Canis lupus familiaris: one gene and its partner. The protein of the gene in region 1 binds, or shares a complex with, the protein of each later gene. Links are inferred from orthologs where the notes say so. Each region holds a gene or a part of one and is shown in the gene's direction. Other genes may lie near its edges.

Region 1 (9,985 bases):
TTGAGAGATTTTGCCTAGTGGAGGAAGATGGACACGTAACAAATCCAGGCACTTGCAGAACACTTGTTTGTGGAACTCTGTGCAGGGTGAGGCAATAGACTGCATCAAGGAGTCACTGTTTACACACCAGTTCCTGGTTCAGGCGAATGGGTGATTGACTGCCCCACTAACTGAGATAGAAAACCTAAGAGGTGGAGCTCATTTGTGGGGCAAATACATTAGTTCTTAATTGAGCATGTGGGTTTTAGGTACCTGTAGGAATCCAGCAGGAGGGATCCAGAGGTAGGAGGATGCTTGGATCTGAGCACAGGGGAGAAGATCGTGCTGGAGTATGGAATGGGTTTCATCAGTGTGCACGTGAGTGAAGCCTGAGAGTTTAAGTGTTTTGAACTCTTGTTTCAGGCTTTAGGTTAAGTGCTTTGTATTACCACCACCACCACCACCACCATCCATTCCACAGCTAACATTTACGGAGCACTCAATATGTGCCAGTTTGACTTCTAAGTACTTTACCTGCATTATCTTGTTCAGCTCTCACAACCAAGAAAGAGAAGTACTGTTCCAATTTTAGTTATCATTGAGGATTAGAGAAATTAAGTAACTGGCCCCAGGTCATACTGCTAGTGACTTGTGAAATCAGAAACATCTAAGGAGAGCTTGTAGAATGAGAGAAGAGGGCAAGAGACATAGAGCCACAAGCACAGAAACATATTTTCAGTTCTTTAGTTTTTTTTTAATTAAAGATTAAGTTTGTAATTAAAAACATTAAGGTAGGGGATCCCTGGGTGGCTCAGAGGTTTAGCGCCTGCCTTTGGCCCAGGGCATGATCCTGGAGTCCTGGGATCCAGTCCCGCCTCGGGCTCCCAGCATGGAGCCTGCTTCTCCCTCTGCCTGTCTCTCTACCTCTCTCTCTCTCTCTGTGTCTATCATGAATTAAAAAGAAAAAAAAAAAAAAAAAAAGGTGTCATGGGGCATCTGGGTGGCTCAGTCGGTTATGTGTCTGAATCTTGGTTTCAGCACAGGTCGTGATCTTGGGGTCGTGGAATCAAGCCGGAGTTGGGGCTCTGCGCTCAGTGAGGAGTTTGCCTGGGACTCTCACTCCCTCTCCAACTACCCCTCTCCCTTACAGGAAATAAATAAATCTTTTTTTTTTCTTCTTGGAAGGAAATATTTATTTATTTATTTATTTATTTATTTATTTATTTATTTATTTATTTATTTATATAATAATAAATTTATTTTTTATTGGTGTTCAATTTGCCAACATACAGAATAATACCCAGTGCTCATCCCGTCAAGTGCCCCCCTCAGTGCCCGTCACCCATTCGTGGAAATAAATAAATCTTTTAAAAAATTAAGGTATCAAAAAAATTAAGGTATCGTGTACATTAAATGTTATGGACAACTTATAAGTGTACAGCTCAAAGAAAATTTAAAATATGAACATACCAGTGTAATAACCACCATCCAGATCAAGAAACTGCTTTAGAATGCTACTAAAACAAAACCAAAACCAAAAAAATTATTTTTTATTTTTATTTTACTTTTTTTTATTTTACTTTTTTTTTTTTAAAGATTTTATTTATTTATTCATGATAGTCACACACAGAGAGAGAGAGAGAGAGAGAGAGGCAGAGACACAGGCAGAGGGAGAAGCAGGCTCCATGCAGGGAGCCCAATGTGGGACTCGATCCCGGGTCTCCAGGATCACGCCCTGGGCCAAAGGCAGGCGCTAAACCGCGGCGCCACCCAGGGATCCCTTTATTTTACTTTTTTTTTTTTTTCTTTTTTCTTTTTCCCCTCCCTCCCTCCCTCTTTATTTTACTTTTTAAAAAAATATTTTATTTATTTATTCATGAGAGACACACAGAGAGAGAGAAAGAGGCAGAGACACAGGCAGAGGGAGAAGCAGTCTCCATACAGGGAGCCTGACACGGGACTCCATCCTGAGTCTCTAGGATCAGGCCCTGGGCTGAAGGTGGAGCTAAACAGCTGAGCCACCTGGGCTGCCCCCTCCCCCCCCAAATTTAAAACCCCCCACCTCAAACCCAAAAAATTCCCCTGATATTACTAACACCTTAACGCCCCAGAAACTTTCTTTCCTTTTGGAAGCATTCTTTATGCTACTCCCCCATCATTCCCTGTCCCCCACTCAAAGGTAACCCCACTTTTGGCTTCTTTTGCCATGATTAGTTTTGCTGTAAATATCAACATTAAGAGGTGGGACAGTAAAGATGAGCTTAAAAAGTTGACTGAGATAAACTGGTCAGGGAAATGGGAGGACTTCCAGAGAGCCAGGCTTCAACTACCATATGCACACACCAACAAGAAACTGGTGATACAAAGTAGCAGTGACTCTTGGAAACTCCTCTTTGGCAACATTGGGAAATGTAGCAAGATCACATTCACAAAGTAGTTGGCAGTGACAGCAGCACTAGCAACTGTATCCATGCCCAGGTCAGGGGAGCTGGGAAGGCCCTCTGCAGCATCTTATTTCGTGGCAGCAGCAAGGAGACCTGCCGATGAATTCTTTGGCATGATTTGGGGTTGTTTTCCTCATTAAGAACCTTCCAGGTTAGATTCTTCAGGCTCTTAACAATTTTGTGAGCTACCCAGTATAATCTAGTAGCTAATTCCTTACTAGGTCTGGAGAGAACAACTTTGTTGTGAAAGACTATTGATTGCCCACACAACTATCAATGATCATTCCTTTTTAAAAAATTTCCCCCAATATAACTCTGCTTTGTTGTTTTTTTTTGGTTTGGTTTGGGTTTTTTTGGGTGCACGTGCCCAGCCTCATGATTGTTCTACCTCCGCCACTCTAGGTAATACCATCCTTTTGGCCAACATTTATTACCCTTCCTTTTTGCAACAGTCCCGCAAGGCAGGTATTATCTTTTCCATTTTACTGATGGGAAAACCCAGGCTCAGAGGAGGGGTGGATTTTGAACGCAGATCTGACTCCATAGCTCTTTACAGGACACTGCATCATAGCTCACCTATGGGTAATTGTGGCCACTTTTTTATAATTCTGGTTGTGATTATTCTACTTTTCTATTGGGCCTATCAGAGCGTTCGGTAGGCTTCCTGGCCCACCATCCGCGATAATCTGGGGGCTCCTTAGGGCGCCTCAGTGCCCCTTAGGAAGTTCCTAATGACTTCTAGACACTCCCTCAACTTTCCAGAAGTACGTGTAATGACTCCCAGGACCTTCTCCCACGCCCCAAGAGCTGCTCCTAATGACCCCCAAATCCCCGCTCATTGAACAACTCTTCTCTTAATGACCCTAAGGACATTCCCCCTTCAGAGCTGTCTCCCCTTCAGGAAATGTCTGGTTCTGCCGGCGAGTGGGAGGTTTCCCATGACACGGGCCTTCCAGTTTTGAAAGCCAAGGCAGGGATCCCCGGGTGGTTCAGTGGTTGAGCACCTGCCTCTGGCCCAGGGCGCGTGATCCTGGGGTCCCGGGATCGAGTCCCACGTCGGGCTCCCTGCATGGAGCCTGCTTCTCCCTCTGCATGTGCCTCTGCCTCTCTCTCTGTGTCTCTCATGAATAAATAAATCTTAAAAAAAAAAAGAAAAAGAAAAAGAAAAAGAAAAAAAGAAAAGCCAAGGCAGTCTCGGGCAAAAAGGGCCAAGTTGGTCACCCTATCAGATCTCGGAAGCGGCCCCCAAGGGCTCCCAGCGCACTGCCACCTTGGGGAGGCCCCACCTTGGGGAGGCCCCTAGACTCTTCGCTAGTCACATCCCACGCGCATCCCGCGGCCCCGACCCTCGCCGAGCGTCCCACTTCCAGGCACTCGCCTCTTTCCACCCCGGGGAGCGGGGGTGGGGGGGATGGGGGGTGGGGAGGGGGGATGGCCGCCTGTGATTGGCCCGCCCCGCGGCTCAGCCAAGATGCTCAGTGGCCGCAGAGCCGGGCGGCGCGGCTTTTCCTCCTGGCAACAGCCCGACCCGGCGCTCATTGGCGGAGCAGATCATAGGCGCGCTCCCATTGGCTGCTTGCCGAGCGCCAGCGGGCTCCCATTGGTCAGGGCCGCGCGGCTGCGCAGGGGCCGACTTTCCGGGGGAGGCGGAGCTCCGTCCTCCGCCGGCTGGAGGAGCGGAGCGCGCGGCCGCCGGCGACCGCGGGAGCCAGGCCCGGGCCCTGCAGGGGCGGAGGGCTGGCGGGTAAGGACCGTACGGCTTCCGAGTGCTCTGCGTGCGTTGCAGCCGTCCCTGTGACCGTGAGCTCCGGTGGGGGAGGGGCGGGGGGCTTGCCGTCAGCGCCGAGTGATAGGCGTGCTCCTTGTCCAATGCGGACCGCGGCTCCGAAATGCATCCCGAGATTGGTCCTTTCTAATCTCCTGTGGCCAATGCGCGTCGGGAAGGGAGGCGGGTGTCCTGGGCCTTATTTTCTTCTTCCTGCGGCCGGGCCTCACTCGCCTAGGCGGCGGGGCCGGGAGGGGCTGGCCCTCGACGCGGTGAGGTGGGGGGGCCCCCGGGAGCGGGGGGCTGCCCTGGGGGGGTTCCGTGGGGTCAGCTTCGAGGGGCGGGGCGGCAGTTAGAGGCGGGTGTTAGCAGCGGCGACCTTTATTGAGTTCTTAAGTGCCGGGCCTAGTGCTCAGCGTTTCGCTTGCATCATCTGAGTTCATCGGAGCAGCCCTGCTGGGCGAGGAGGTCGGGATCCCCATTTTACAGGTGGGGAAACTGAGACTCGGGCAGCTCACACAGCCAAGGTCACACAGCCAACGAATGGCAGAGACCGGATCTGAATCCAGAGTTGTTTGGGTTCCGGAGCCGGTGCTCTTGAACCACACCAGGCTTTGTTGCTGAATGGGGGACATGAAAGAGTCGGGGCACCGGAGCTTCCCCCAGGGGAGAGGTGGGGGGAAGGGAATCCTAGGGTCGGAGAAAGGCAATGAGCGAGCGAAGTGGGGGCGAGGGGATCAGTTATTCAACAGTTACGGAGTGTCTGCGCCGAGCCGTGCATTGTTCTAGGTTCCAGGCTACAAAGATGACTAAGTCCAGAGGCAGATGAAGCCCCGTTCCAGGCCTAGCACTGTGTTCACACGATTAGGATGTTTTCATCAAATTAGGCTGAAGCAAGATTTTGTAATTCTGAAAAAGACAGCCTTTAAAATTGATCGAACTTGAGGTTCCTCCACACTTGGATCTCCCCTTGCAAAGGGCTGCTTCTAGGTGGAAATTATACAGTAGGCAGCACAGAGTAATGGAAGAAGCAGTGGGGATGAGTTGCAGGACTGTGGGGACTGTGGGGGGAAAGTCCTGCTATGTAAAATGGGGTTAACAGTCTAGCTGTTCTGTAAAGTTTTGGGGAGGCGCCTGAAAAGCTCCTGGCCAAGAACACTTTATTTTTTGGTGAAATGGAAGCTTGAGAGATGTGGGTAATGGGGCTTAGACAGTTTTGTGTCATCCTGGCTTCCCAGTGTGTTAGTAGGTTGCTGGCAGGTTGGAGGTGCTGTAGTTTCCTTCTGAGCTCTCCAGCTCTCAAGGGAACCCTGGGAGCTGAACTGCCATGGCTTTGGGGCCCAGACTGGAGGAGTCGAGGGAAATGTTTGTTCCTCAAGTGGCTTCTTTTAGATCTTGTGCCTGGTTCTTACTCATTTGAAATCATCTATCGTGTTAATCAGGCAATGGGGATGCACCCACTTAGTTCGAAGGCCTCATCTAGGAGCACAGTGTTTCACCTTTTCCGGTCAGTTTGAAGTGTACCCTGTATTGCCAGTTTATTGCCCATTTAAATTTTGTCCTTTGAATTCTGGGTACTGTGTAGTTGAACTAGTCTCCAGCTTGACCTTATGTATTGCTGAAATGATGTTTTGGTTTAGAGAACAATCTCATTTTAGGGGTTTTAAATACAAATATCAGAGTGCTTTTTTAACTCTTAAAACTTTATAATCTTATGGCCAAGTTAACTTGCCTTAGTAATCTAGAATCTTGTTTTAGGTTGTGCCCTGAAAGGGAGCCCATAGTTTGTTTTTTTTTTTTTAATCTAATACATTGTTTAATACATCCTGAAGCAGTTATCAAAGGTGGATAAGGGAGCAATTGGAAAAGATAAAAGAGGGCAGGGCAGCTTTAGTATTGTTAAGTACAACAATCTAGTAACAGATTTTAGCTGAAATAGTGTCTCCATTTAAATGAGATTTGAATACTTACAATTTTGATACATTGGATTCTCACTCTGTTTTTGTTTACTTAAGTAACCTATCTAGAGGCAGATTCAAGGTGTGAGGTCTTAAAACTTCAGGATTTCTACATCCTTTGTTGTTTCAGCATTGACATTCCAAGCGTTTTTTTTTTATCAAGTTTTTAAAAATTCCATTCAGTTAATAGACAGTGAAATATTAGTTTCAGGTGTGAATTTAGTGATTTCATCACTTGTTTATAACACCCTGTGCTCATTACAACAAGTGCCCTGCCTCCTTAATATCCATCACTCAATTACCCATCTGCCCTGATATACCCAGCATTTAATTCAAATTACAGTTTATGCTCTTAAAAAAAAATTTTATTTATTTATTCACAAGAGACACCGAGAGAGGGAGAGGGAGAAGCAGGCTCCATGCAAGGAGCCCAATACAGGACTCAGCCCTGGGAATCCAGGATCACACTCTGAGCTGAAAGCAGACACTCAACCACTGAGCCACCCAGGTGTCCCTACAGTTTATGCTCTTCATGTATTTCTTCAGATTCCTGTCTGACCAAAGTGACCTCAAAAAAGAAGGAAGATGGCTTCTGAATCTGAAACTCTGAATCCCAGTGCTCGGATAATGACGTTTTACCCAACCATGGAGGAGTTCCGGAACTTCAGTCGATACATGGCCTACATTGAATCCCAAGGAGCTCATCGGGCTGGGCTGGCCAAGGTGAGGGTGGGTGGGGTTGTTCCTTAGGTCAGCAGGAATTTTTCCTAAAAGGTGGATGAAAGAACTGAGTTTCACAAAAAGCCAGGCTGGGTGTTGAGTGTATACTGTCCTATTTGTAAGTTAATTCCTTTCGTTAACATCTGAAGCAAGCATCTTTTAGGTAGGGTGGGAGCTGCTCGGAGTCTTTAAAGAGAAATAAAGAGCCTAAGCAAAGTAAAGAGCCAGTGTCCCAGGGCCAGCTGCTGTGCTGCTTCCATTCTCATGGCAGAGATGTGTGCTTTAGTGTTTGTACCTGTCACTGAGGCTTATACCATACACCTTGTTCCCATTTCAGTCTCATCTAGCACTCTGTTAGCAAGTTGGTTCTTTATGTGCACCTTCTGTTAGATTATGAGAATCAACCCTCAGCTCTTGTCTTGATGTCCAGATAAGATACTGAGCTTAGAATGAGTATTACTTATTTTGATCATTGTAATGAGGCAGCCAATTGGTGGCTGAATTGGATCAGGGTTAGCACAACAGCGTGACTTGCTATGTTTGGGTATACTTGGTTAAATCAGAGTCACTTTATAGTAAAATTGACCTTTCGGTTGAATAGCTGCCTATCCCCAACCTGGGCTGGGACCTGGCCTGCTAGGTTTCTGATCTCTTTGTTTCTTGTGTTCCCTACAGGTCGTTCCTCCAAAGGAGTGGAAACCTCGAGCGTCCTATGATGATATTGATGATCTGGTCATTCCTGCCCCCATCCAGCAGCTAGTGACAGGGCAGTCTGGCCTCTTCACTCAGTACAACATCCAGAAGAAAGCCATGACTGTTCGAGAGTTCCGCAAGATAGCCAATAGTGATAAGTGAGTGAAAACCCGTCCCTTCCCGCCTGTAGTAGCACCTAGGAGCTAACGTCTGATCTTTATAGCTGTCTCCTAAGGTCGCTGCCGAGCCACTGAAGGATGCTTTCCTCAGCCCTAGCTCTGTCTCCCTTTCTGCTCTTTTTATGGAAGCATCCTTACTACTCCCAGTACTGTGTCACAGTCTAAACGCATCCATAAGTCTTCCCTAAAGTAATCCCATTGTTCTTCCATCAGAGGCAGAATCATTCTCTGACCCTGGTAAATTGTAGAGTTGTAAAGGAGAAAGTTAGGAGTTGGTTCAAAAAGAGTTTTGGCCAGCTGTGTTGATAACACCAGCTTATCGAAAGGTTGCCTTAGTGGTTTTTCTCTTCCTTCTGGGTCCTCCTGTCTTTTCATGCTCAAACTACTCACTACTAGCACTGTCCCCTTCTATTTTGACTTAAAATATGACTGGGCACCTGGGTGGCTTAGTCAGTGAAGCGTTTGCCTTAGACTTGGATCATGATCCCAGAGTCCTGGGATCAAGCCCCACATTGGGCTCCCTGCTCAGTGGTGAGTTTGCTTCTCCCTCTGCCCCTCACCCCACTCATGTACTCTCTCTCTCTCACTGCTCTGTCTCTCAAATAAATAAGTAAAATCTTAAAAAAGAAAAAAAAAAGTGTGATCAAACTGCCAAGCTGGTTGCTGTTTTCTTTTTCTTTTTTTTTTTTTAAAGGGTTTATTTATTTATTCCCGAGAGACACACAGAAGGAGAGGCAGAGACACAGGCAGAGGGGAGAAGCAGGCTCCATGCAGGGAACCTGATGTGGGACTCGATCCCGGGACCCCAGGATCATGACCTGGGCCAAAGGCAGGCACTAAACTACTGAGCCACCAGGATCCAGGGATCCCCTGGTTGCTGTTTCCTTTGCTTCCGTTCCTCTTCATCCATACATCCTTATCTCTGTTAGACACGTCTTTGTGTAGGTCTGTAGGTCTGCTATTTTCCATGGTTTCTTGTCTGTTCTTTTTCATATTTAGCTTTCATTTGACCTCAGATTTACAGAGTGTGATTTTGTGGTTTCTTTCATTGAGCTGTGACTGCTCCTACTTAATCCTTTCTTGGACTTTCTCCCTTCCCGTGTTACTCCTTGACTTTTTAGTGTCCATGAGGGATTCCTTTATTTTCTCTTGCTTTTTTCCCTGCGCCCTTTTGATCTACATACGTCTTGATTTCAGCCAGTCAGATGTGTTAGATTGTGGGTTTGCTGTGAATGATCCCAGAGCTGGATGTTTAGCTCACCAGTTTTCACGCTTCTGGGGGCACCACCACTTCATGTGCTTTATCATTGCTCTCTCACATCAGATCTTGTTCTATTTCTGTGTTTTGCCATCTTTTCCTTTGACTTATCACAGTTCAGAATGTTGTTTTCCAGTTTTATTGACAGCTTAATTCTTAAAACATCTGCATTGCTGACCAACCTGCTGTCTAAAGAGCAAATTTATGTAAGAGCGTGTCCAAGAAGTGTGACATGCTCTGCAGATGAAAGCCTGTGCCATCCTTTATGTCTGGTTTCTAGCTATGCGGTGGGAGGCTTGCCTGCCTTCCAGCTCACATGGGGCTCAGCCAGAGGCCTCGCTCTCCTGTGTCTGGTTTCTCTTCTCAACGTATGGTAGGCCTTTTCTTTAAAGATACCTCTTCTTTTCAATTAGCCAGTCCTGTGTCTTTCCCCTTTGTCTGAAATGCAGTAAATTCTTCCCCTTAATTTCTATGTGCATTGTTAGCCAGCTTTAAGAAAACCCAGCAGGTAAAAATCACAATTTATGAAGCAGATCAGTTGGAGGTGGAAGAGTTACTTCTATTTCAAAGGGAACTTAAGAGTCCTATACTTTATTATTCAATAGGTCGACATTAAAATGTATGGCCGTATTTATTTATTTATTTACTTATTTGTTTATTTATCCCCCCCCTTTTTTTTTTGTATGGCCGTATTTATTTATTTATTTTTTTAAATTTTTATTTATTTATGGTAGTCACACACAGAGAGAGAGAGGCAGAGACATAGGCAGAGGGAGAAGCAGGCTCCATGCACCGGGAGCCCGATGTGGGATTCGATCCCGGGTCTCCAGGATCACGCCCTGGGCCAAAGGCAGGCGCTAAACCGCTGCGCCACCCAGGGATCCCTGTATGGCCGTATTTAAAGTAAGATTTTTTTTCCCCCTTCAGCCCATTGTCTCCACACAGTTTGTTTTGGGTCTTCGCTTCCTTTCTATCCATTCATAATGTTT
Region 2 (9,162 bases), on another chromosome or scaffold:
AGCACCCCGCGGGTCTCCTCGTAGATGAGGCCCGAGATGCGCTTGACGCCGCCGCGCCGGGCCAGCCGCCGGATGGCGGGCTTGGTGATGCCCTGGATGTTGTCGCGCAGCACCTTGCGGTGGCGCTTGGCGCCGCCCTTGCCCAGCCCCTTCCCGCCCTTGCCGCGACCAGACATGACCACACCAGAACCTCCCGAGCCTGCACGGCACTACCGGCTGCCGCCACGCCGCACTTTTATAACAATGTGACGGACCTGTTTGAAAACCGCAAGCGCAGGGGCGGATCCACACTCCGTTCCCGCCCATCGCCCTTCTAGCCTTTGCTCAGACTGTGCAGACCCGGAAGGCCGGGCGCCCCAAGCGGAGTCTGTGCCGGGGGAAGGGGATTCCGTAAATCCTCTCGAGTATGTGATCCGTGCAATGGCCTTGCAGCACTTGCAGCCTCTATGCCGGCCACCCGCTATGCCGGGCACCAATGCATACGCTTTCCACAAAGACCTCGTCCTTCACATTTCCCAAACAAGGGCAGAAATATTTAGATCCTCCTCGCTGTTGTCCCTAGGAGAGGTTTTCAATAAAATTTGAAGCTAATCCTATCTGTATTGCTAAGATTCTGTTCGTGTTATCGACCGATGGGTGTCCGGTCCCTACGGAGGGCGGCTGGCTGGGATGCAGGCTGTCCGGTCCCTGCGGAGGGAACGGACAGAATCGCCTTAAACATTTCAAAGTCAAGTCAGGTTCCACACTGAAGGCTGCGCTGAGCATATGCCACAGTGAGGAGAGCCTGGTTCTGCTGTGAGTCTCCACTCTGCGACTTCAGTGTATACTTAGTTATGCACAGCTTACAGGTAGCGCGGTGTCCGCCTCCACGTTCTGGTGCTCCGGCCTTTGGCATGACCTAGAACGCGGCTCTGGACACAGCCTGCCGCCGTGCTACCTACAGGACCTCGGGCGGGCTATACTCGCTTCTTTTCCTTTCCAAATGTATAAGAAAGTCTAAGTCATAGAGCATTGAATTTTCAAAGGGAAAACCCATGTAAAGCGTTTACTATCCGCAAATATGCACTCACAAAATGATTATGATATATTATTGTGGATGTTTCTCTGCTCCTTCACTCACTATTCGCTCCTCGGAATAATGAGCCTAACAGAGCATCCTAGTTTCCTACAACTTTCTTTCCAGAACTCCTTAAAAATAATAAGCACTGAAAGATTGAATTCAGCACTAATCCGTTTGTGGAGTTCTAGTTGACTTTGTGGGGATTTGGCTTCTCCCCAAGGGTCTGTGAGGAGGACATAGTTCATTAAAGCTGATTTCTGAGTTTGTGGGCGGTGCATGGGAAAAATGCCCGACTTGTGTTCTTACTCTCTGATACAATGACAGGATTTAAGACATCTAGGAACTTGTATAGAACATAAGTCCATCTTTATCTGTACTATCCCTCAATTGAAGCTTAGCATTTCTTCCATTTACGAATATAGGCAGCAAACTTCGATGGGCGGGACCTGTCCTGTGTGCATGTCACCTAAACTGAAGCTCTCAGTGTTTTCAAGACCATTTAGACACTTTATTCCTTCTACACTGTGTTCATTCTTGCTCACAAGAGCTATCTTGTGACTCTAACGGATTAATAAAAAAACACATCTGTTAGGATGCCTAAGTGGTTGAGCATCTGCCTTTGGCTCATGGCCTGATGCCTGGGTCCTGGGATCTAGTCCCACATTGGGTTCCCGGCAGGGAGCCTGCTTCTCCCTCTGAATATGTATCTGCCTCTCTCTGTGTGTCTTTCACAAATAAATAAATAAAATCTTTAAAAAGAAACCACACACATCTGTTAACACTTTACAGTTTGGGGATTTGATAAAGGTATTGTAATATTAATTCTTTCCCATTATAATCCAATGTATATTCTCTTAAACTCTTAAAAACATTGTCCTGGCAAGGGGCCCATAAGCCTTATCAGATATATAAAGAAGCCCTTGACATGAACAAAGAAGGGTCAAAGGGATCTTCAGAGCCTTGAAAGACTCTGGGTTTTGAAAATGTGCACAGAGAAGCATTAGGAAATGACATGAATGTTGGCATGAAATGAATACGTAATAGTAACCTGATGGAGGTGTGTAAGGGTAAATGGCAATAATTTTCTCCTCTTAGCAACAGGAAAGAGATTATAGGGAGAGTGTAGTACAGTGGAGACAGGTGCAAAGGCAAATACCCACCAAGTGCCCAGAAATACAAGTTTGATATTTAGGCAAAAGGACCAATTTGAAGAGACAGTCTTCGAAGTTACTCACATTGACGTGACTCATAAGCCCATCCATGAAGGTGATAGGGGTAGTACCTTGGAGAGACTCCCTACACTGACATGTCCAAGAAACAGCTCTTCCTTGGTGGCACTGCGTCTCTTTGGGTATAATCTTGACTCTCCTATTTCTTGTATGGACTAAATACTGTCACAGCCTTATGACTCAATGTCTCTGCAATTCCTGGAGTATTAATTATCAAAGAATAATTATCAGATTATCAAAGAATAATCTTCAAATGAGTTTCAAAACCAACTATAATGAATCAAAACCACTTTTTTTCAAAACCACTTTAAAAGAATTAAGAATATGTAAGCTCTATAAAAAGTGAATACACAAAGTAAAAATTATTTATACTAAGCTGATATCTCACCCCTCTTTATCATGTTAATATTTAACCTATAGTGACATTAATTTTCATGTTTCACTTGGATTGACTGAAAGGAATAATCAGTCATTTCTTGATTTTGAGGGGATAATAAAGGAAAGTGAAACCTTCCCCCTCTTGAGCTTTGCTGTGTTTCCTTCTTTCACTGTCATAGTGGAACACAGATTGGTTCATGTTTCAAAATAAATATAATATGTTAAAGAGAAAAAAGGAATTTGTGAAGAAAATCACATTAAATCACTTCCTACCATAAACCTATTTCCCATTCAACAGTAAGCATAAGTTGTAATGTGATGCCTTCCATAAATGAAAAATATACTAGTGAATATAAAACACACTTTTAAAAAAGGTCCCCCTCTCAAGGGAATGCCATAAGTGTGTGCATGTCTGTGTGTGTTGTGCATGTATATAATCTTTGTTACTTTAATACCTTCCAAATTTCTCTTTCTCAAGAATGGCAGATTTCTATACCCAAACTTGTACACATTTTAGTAACTGATCTCTACCAAGAAAATCAATATAAGATAATATTTTCAACTAATAAAGGTACCCAACTTCTCTTATGCCACTTCTAAATCTCCTATCATCATCTAAAACAAACATAAGCCAAACAACCAGGTCAGCAGCATCATACTTGCTGCATTTCCCATTTTTCTAGACAAATATTGAATGCAGAAACCCCAAACTAACTCTGCAAATTGTTACTAGAAGCTATGATAAAGGTTTTACAGACAAAATAATGACCGTTCTTGTCAGAATTAGCAGTTCTTCCAAGAATCCTTTACTATCATTCTTGTAGAGAAATGGGGAGAGAGCCTGTGTTATTTCCCTTCATATGAAACAGGTTTTCTGGCTAAATCTCGATGAGAACTAAGCAGCTGTTGAACATATGAGAAGCCAAGAATGTATAGAATAACCCTAGAGAGCAAGTTATTGAAAGCACAAAGCGAAGAATTTATATTTTAAAGGAAAATCAAGAAGTTGTCTCTCTGACCTGTGAATCTCTCAGGGTGTCAGGGGCTTTTGAAAAGAGCTGAAACCCAGATGATGAAAACTGGAAGAAGAAAACACGAAGATGTCAAAGCATGAGGGGTCCCGCTTCGCTATAGAGTGTAATCAGCGTGATTCCTCCCCAGGAAATTTTAATTTTTTTGCTTTCCCCAACTGTAACAAACACAATTCCGGGACAGAGCTGACACCAGGCTGCTGTCAAGTTGGAGGACTGAGCTCGGAGCCAATCAGCGCGCGGCGTCCTTGTTGTATATATACACACGCACACACGCACGCCGAACCAAGCAGCTCAACTCCGAGACTCGATTAATATTATTTTTTCCTTTCATCTTCAGGAACCAAAACCCACTATGTCCGAGACCGCTCCTGCCGCGCCTCCAGCCCCGGCCCCCGCGGAGAAGACGCCGGTGAAGAAGAAGGCCCGCAAGTCCGCCGGCGCAGCCAAGCGCAAGGCGTCCGGGCCCCCGGTGTCCGAGCTCATCACCAAGGCGGTGGCCGCGTCCAAGGAGCGCAACGGCCTCTCCTTGGCCGCGCTCAAGAAGGCGCTGGCGGCCGCCGGCTACGACGTGGAGAAGAACAACAGCCGCATCAAGCTGGGCCTCAAGAGCCTGGTGAGCAAGGGGACCCTGGTGCAGACCAAGGGCACCGGCGCCTCGGGCTCCTTCAAGCTCAACAAGAAGGCGGCCTCCGGGGAGGCCAAGCCCAAGGCCAAGAAGGCGGGCGCGGCCAAGCCCAAGCGGGCGGCGGGGACGGCCAAGAAGCCCAAGAAGGCAGCGGGGACCGGCACCCCCAAGAAGAGCGCCAAGAAGACTCCGAAGAAGGCTAAGAAGCCCGCCGCGGCCACCGTCGCCAAGAAGGTGGCCAAGAGCCCCAAGAAGGCGAAGGCGGCCAAGCCCAAGAAGGCGGCCAAGAGTCCGGCCAAGACCAAAGCCCCGAAGCCCAAGGCAGCCAAGCCCAAGGCGGCCAAACCCAAGAAAGTGGCCGCCAAGAAGAAATAAGAATACAGAGTAGTTTAGGATCTTTTTAAAGGCTCTTTTCAGAGCCACCCAAACCTCTGAAAAGAGCTGCGGCACTCTGCGGGGAAGGGGGCGTGGCGGGAGGGGAGACTGGCGAGCCCGGAGCGGCACCTACAGGGGCGCCTGTTAAGTGCACACGGGCCTGGGGAGATTTCAAATGGGACAATGATTTCTCCTCTAGTCTGGTAAGTGCGCTGGTTCAACCTAAATTGGCCCGTAGTCCACACGGCGCAATAGGACTAATATACATAGGGGAGAAGTTACTTGCAAAACGAACTTTGAAACCGATTTGCCACTTAATAGAAAGTTCTCCAGCCACCGGGGATCTTTATACTGTATTGGTAGAAAACTATGAAGTATCTCGATGGTCTTTCCATTATCTTAATCATGGAATTGCGCCATCTCCTCAACAAGCACTTGCCCACCAGCTCCAATACCTAGGACGTCAGTTTGGCCACCAGTGGCCACCAGGCTTCCGCTGCGCAACACCCATCCTAGTGGAGGAAGTTTTCTAACAAAAGCTGTCCACACACACTTCTCCGTTACACTACCTCAAAGTTAAAATACATATTGGCGTTGAAGAAGACTTTATAGTAACCTTTGGTAGCCAAGTCTAGACCTTCTGATTGGGTCGAAGCACAGTAACGAGGCAGCCAATGAAACGCTAGAATTGCAAGTACCTTTTACATTCGTATTTGTGACGACACAGTAAAATTAATCCAATCGTAAATGATCTTACTAACCTCATTCGAATGCCTCCTCTATAAATAAACGGGGTCTTACGGTGGCTTATATTTTCCTCCCGCTTTACTGAACGTGTGGTATTCAAGGTCACTATGCCAGAACCCACCAAGTCCGCGCCGGCCCCGAAGAAGGGCTCCAAGAAGGCGGTGACCAAGGCGCAGAAGAAGGACGGCAAGAAGCGCAAGCGCAGCCGCAAGGAGAGCTACTCGGTGTACGTGTACAAGGTGCTGAAGCAGGTGCACCCCGACACGGGCATCTCGTCCAAGGCCATGGGCATCATGAACTCGTTCGTCAACGACATCTTCGAGCGCATCGCGGGCGAGGCGTCGCGCCTGGCGCATTACAACAAGCGCTCGACCATCACGTCCAGGGAGATCCAGACGGCCGTGCGCCTGCTGCTGCCCGGGGAGCTGGCCAAGCACGCCGTGTCCGAGGGCACCAAGGCCGTCACCAAGTACACCAGCTCCAAGTAAACGTGCCAAGTAAGCGTCTCCTTCCCAACCCCAAAGGCTCTTTTCAGAGCCACGCATGCTTTCAACAAATGAGCTATAATGCTTTCTAAAAACTATTCTCAAATGCACCCTAATCAAGTTTACTCTAAGATCGATACATCGCTACGGCTCTATAATTTTCTCTTAGGATTGCGTAGCAAGGATGCCACAATTCCCGGTCGATAACCATACCCATCATAAATTGAGCGCTCGCTATGCCCAAAACCGGTTCTGTACAACCATTATTCCTTAGTTTCACAACACTAAACCTCAATTTTAAATGAAAATGCCATTTCAAGTGTACAGCTCTCCTTCCTGTGCGCAGGCTCCAAATTCATCGTGACATTCAAGGACTTGGGTAAGAACGGTTTCCCCAGAGCACAAAGCATGCTGTAAAAACTGTTTTGCTCAGAGCTTTTCTTTTCCTTTTCAGCATATAGATATGCAATAATGAAAACGAGCTTAAGACAACATGAGTTTTCATGGAAATCTTACACAGGCTTTTCTGGCTTGCTAGCTTTGCAATAATGCCCATTTCTGCTGGTGGGGGAGGTAGGGTGGGGATCAGGGAGGAGGAGTCTGTGCTGTATCCTAAAGGCGCAGACAGACAGGAAAGGGAACCTGTCCTGACTTGGAAGGGCTTTCAAATCCTGTCAGCTACTATAGCTTCTCTCCTACAAAGTCCTATTGCATTGCCGGTCTTCTTCCAGCATCCTTAGCTGGGAAGACCCCAGGGTCACAAGAGAGAAGCCCACTACTCAATCCCATAAAGTGTCTGACTGGAGAGGCAAAAGTTACCCCAGGACTGAGGCCCCCTTTCCTCCCCTGGCCCCTTGCCCCGTGTCCCTGAGAGGCGAGGACTGAGAGGAGGTAGAAAGGGAAAGAAAGCCCTTCCCGGGAGGATGTGGCTTCTGCTGCACAAGGTCAGATGGCATAAAGGGTTTCTGCTGCTGCTGGGAATGGATTATTGTGGGGAAAAGAAATCTGGGGGAAAAAGCTGGGGAGCTGGGAGGAACTGGCCAGGGGGTAAGCAGTCAACAGTTGAGAGTTCACCCAAGAAAACGGATGAGATTATCTTTCCAGGTGTAGCTGACACACTCACCGGTTCCATCCTCAGGGTAGAAGGATGAACTAGAAATGAGCACACGACCAGACAGCACATGGGCACCCCCACACACCCACTCGCCCAGAAGATGGCAACAGTGTGTGCTCACCCTCCGTGCTGAGCAAGGTAGATTGTGCCACCCACAATTCCGACCACCACTCACTTGCTTCTGGCACTGACATCACAGGGATTCGGAATACCCAGGCTGAGGATTAACTCTGAGATCTCCCAAGCTGGCTTTGTACCCCTGAGCACCCGCTCAAGGCAAATACAAATCCTCTCTGAAGGAATAAGCTTCATTTTTGGTCTCAGCAAATCCTCCACACATAAGATAGCAAAGAAAATGAAAGAGCAGCTTCACAACCAAAATCAACACAGGATTCAACAAGACAATGTAACCAACAAGAAGAGAAGCACACAGTGGAAACAAAAGGAGTAAAAAGAAAATGAACAGATACAAACTTCAAGTTGCTAACTTGAATATCTTTAAAAAGGAAAAGGAAAACACTAAGTGAAATATGCTGAGGGATTAAGAATACAAAGAATTTTCCAAAAAGAGTCGAAAGAACCAAATACGACTTCCAGAAATGAAGGTGTGGATATACACGTTAATTTACATTAATCATATGAAAATTAAAATTAAAGGCTTGCTAAATGGACCAAAAAAATCAATAGGCTCCAGATGAAGAATTTTCATGAATTCTGTAAGCAGACCTTATTTATCCAAAATGCAGGGAGAGAAATGTAAAAGTGAGTTTAAGAGATCTGGAATTAGTAGTAAAATTGTCTGCCATGTATCTAATCATGGCACCACAAGAACAACCAGAGAGATTGATGCTGGTGTGAGCTTCCAATGATCATGGCTGAGAATTTTTCAGAGTTAATGGATTACTCATGTAACTCAAAATCAATAAAATAGGGTAAAACTCATACACCAAAACGGACGTCACTCTGTCACACTGTGAACCAAACCCCATAAATTCTCCCAACAAATGTAAAGCTAGTTTTCTAATCTGTTCTGCTAGATGGCAATAGACTGAAGCACTGTTATAAATTCCTGAGAGTGGGAGGATAATTGGCAAATAGATTATTTACATGCACTTGATATCTATCTGATTACCAAATTTTGCAAAACCTAATCAATATGTGATGATTTAATGGACTGTTACATATAGTACTATCATTAGCAGACCAGAAACTTTGATATTTTTTCCAATAACTATTTCTGTAACTATTTTTATCATGGTATTGTGTTAGTTAATGTCACACGCTATATGCCATGTTAAGGCATCACCGTCATTTTCTTCCTTTTCACTAAAGTGGCTTTAGTAGTTCCTGACTTGTTAAAAACCTGTTTGCTTGCATGCATGGATATGTATATAATCTGTGTGTGTTGGTTAGTTTCCTTCTAAATATATTTTTAAAGGTTTATTATGAATGATGTGTGAATTTTCGGTATTTGATGAAATCAAGGGCTTTTCCTCCTCTAGCCTGCTACAATAAATTACGAGTAGATTCCCTAATGCTACCCTATACTCGTATTCCAAGGCCAAATCTTCTTTGGTCATTTTCTATTAGTATCTTAAATACTGGCTGCGCACATTTTAGATTTCCGGGGGATTTTTCCTCCTCTCTACACACAAAAAATCATTCTGTGATTTTCCCTTTTCGGTTAACCTGTATCAGATTTGGTCAATAAGACTATGGTAACTTTGAACGCTTAATTGTGAGCCTCTCCTCCATCTGCTGCTAGGTAACAAACTACCCCAAAACTCAACAGCTTAAATCAATGAAATTTATTATTTATTTTTTGTGGGGGGCAGGGAGGGATCAGGAACCTAGAAGTGATTTCCTGGGAGGTTCTGGCCAGGATCTCTCATAAGGCTGAAGTCAAGATGCAAACACGCACAGCAGTCACCTGAAGCTTAACTGTGGGTTCCCTTCCAAGGTGGCTCACTCCCATGCCACCCAAGTTCCTGTGGGCTCTCAGCAGGAGGACCTCCGATTCTAGCCACATAGACCTGTCAGGACGGCTAACTGGCTCTCTTCCACAAAGACAAATCATAGAGAGAAGGGAGGAGGAATTTGTCACAGAGTCTCTAT

Evidence for each region.
Region 2: the proteins of KDM4A (region 1) and histone H1.4-like are in contact, whole or in part, in a crystal structure (PDB 6H8P), measured with the Homo sapiens proteins. The link is inferred for Canis lupus familiaris from reciprocal best matches to the Homo sapiens genes KDM4A and H1-4. Residues at the interface, in NP_055478.2 of Homo sapiens: Ile71, Asn86, Ala134, Asp135, Asn137, Thr167, Ile168, Glu169, Gly170, Val171, Tyr175, Tyr177, Glu190, Asp191, Ser196, His240, Lys241, Ser288, Thr289, Asn290, Asp311, Met312, Val313; in NP_005312.1 of Homo sapiens: Ala24, Arg25, Lys26, Ser27, Ala28, Gly29.

Annotation. Positions count from the first base shown.
Region 1 is NC_049236.1:16,661,979-16,671,963, reverse strand, and holds the start of KDM4A (lysine-specific demethylase 4A), read left to right. Parts: upstream 1-4,046; 5' UTR 4,047-4,167; intron 4,168-4,322; exon of another isoform or gene 4,323-4,465; intron 4,466-4,520; exon of another isoform or gene 4,521-4,677; intron 4,678-6,692; 5' UTR 6,693-6,731; coding exon 6,732-6,869; intron 6,870-7,541; coding exon 7,542-7,717; intron 7,718-9,985. UniProt on the Homo sapiens protein: Histone demethylase that specifically demethylates 'Lys-9' and 'Lys-36' residues of histone H3, thereby playing a central role in histone code. Does not demethylate histone H3 'Lys-4', H3 'Lys-27' nor H4 'Lys-20'.
Region 2 is NC_049256.1:25,569,827-25,578,988, forward strand, and holds histone H1.4-like, read left to right. Parts: upstream 1-3,996; 5' UTR 3,997-4,053; coding exon 4,054-4,701; 3' UTR 4,702-5,511; downstream 5,512-9,162. Other genes in the region: H4C4 (H4 clustered histone 4), read right to left, coding at 1-176; histone H2B type 1-M, read left to right, coding at 5,556-5,936. UniProt on the Homo sapiens protein: Histone H1 protein binds to linker DNA between nucleosomes forming the macromolecular structure known as the chromatin fiber. Histones H1 are necessary for the condensation of nucleosome chains into higher-order structured fibers.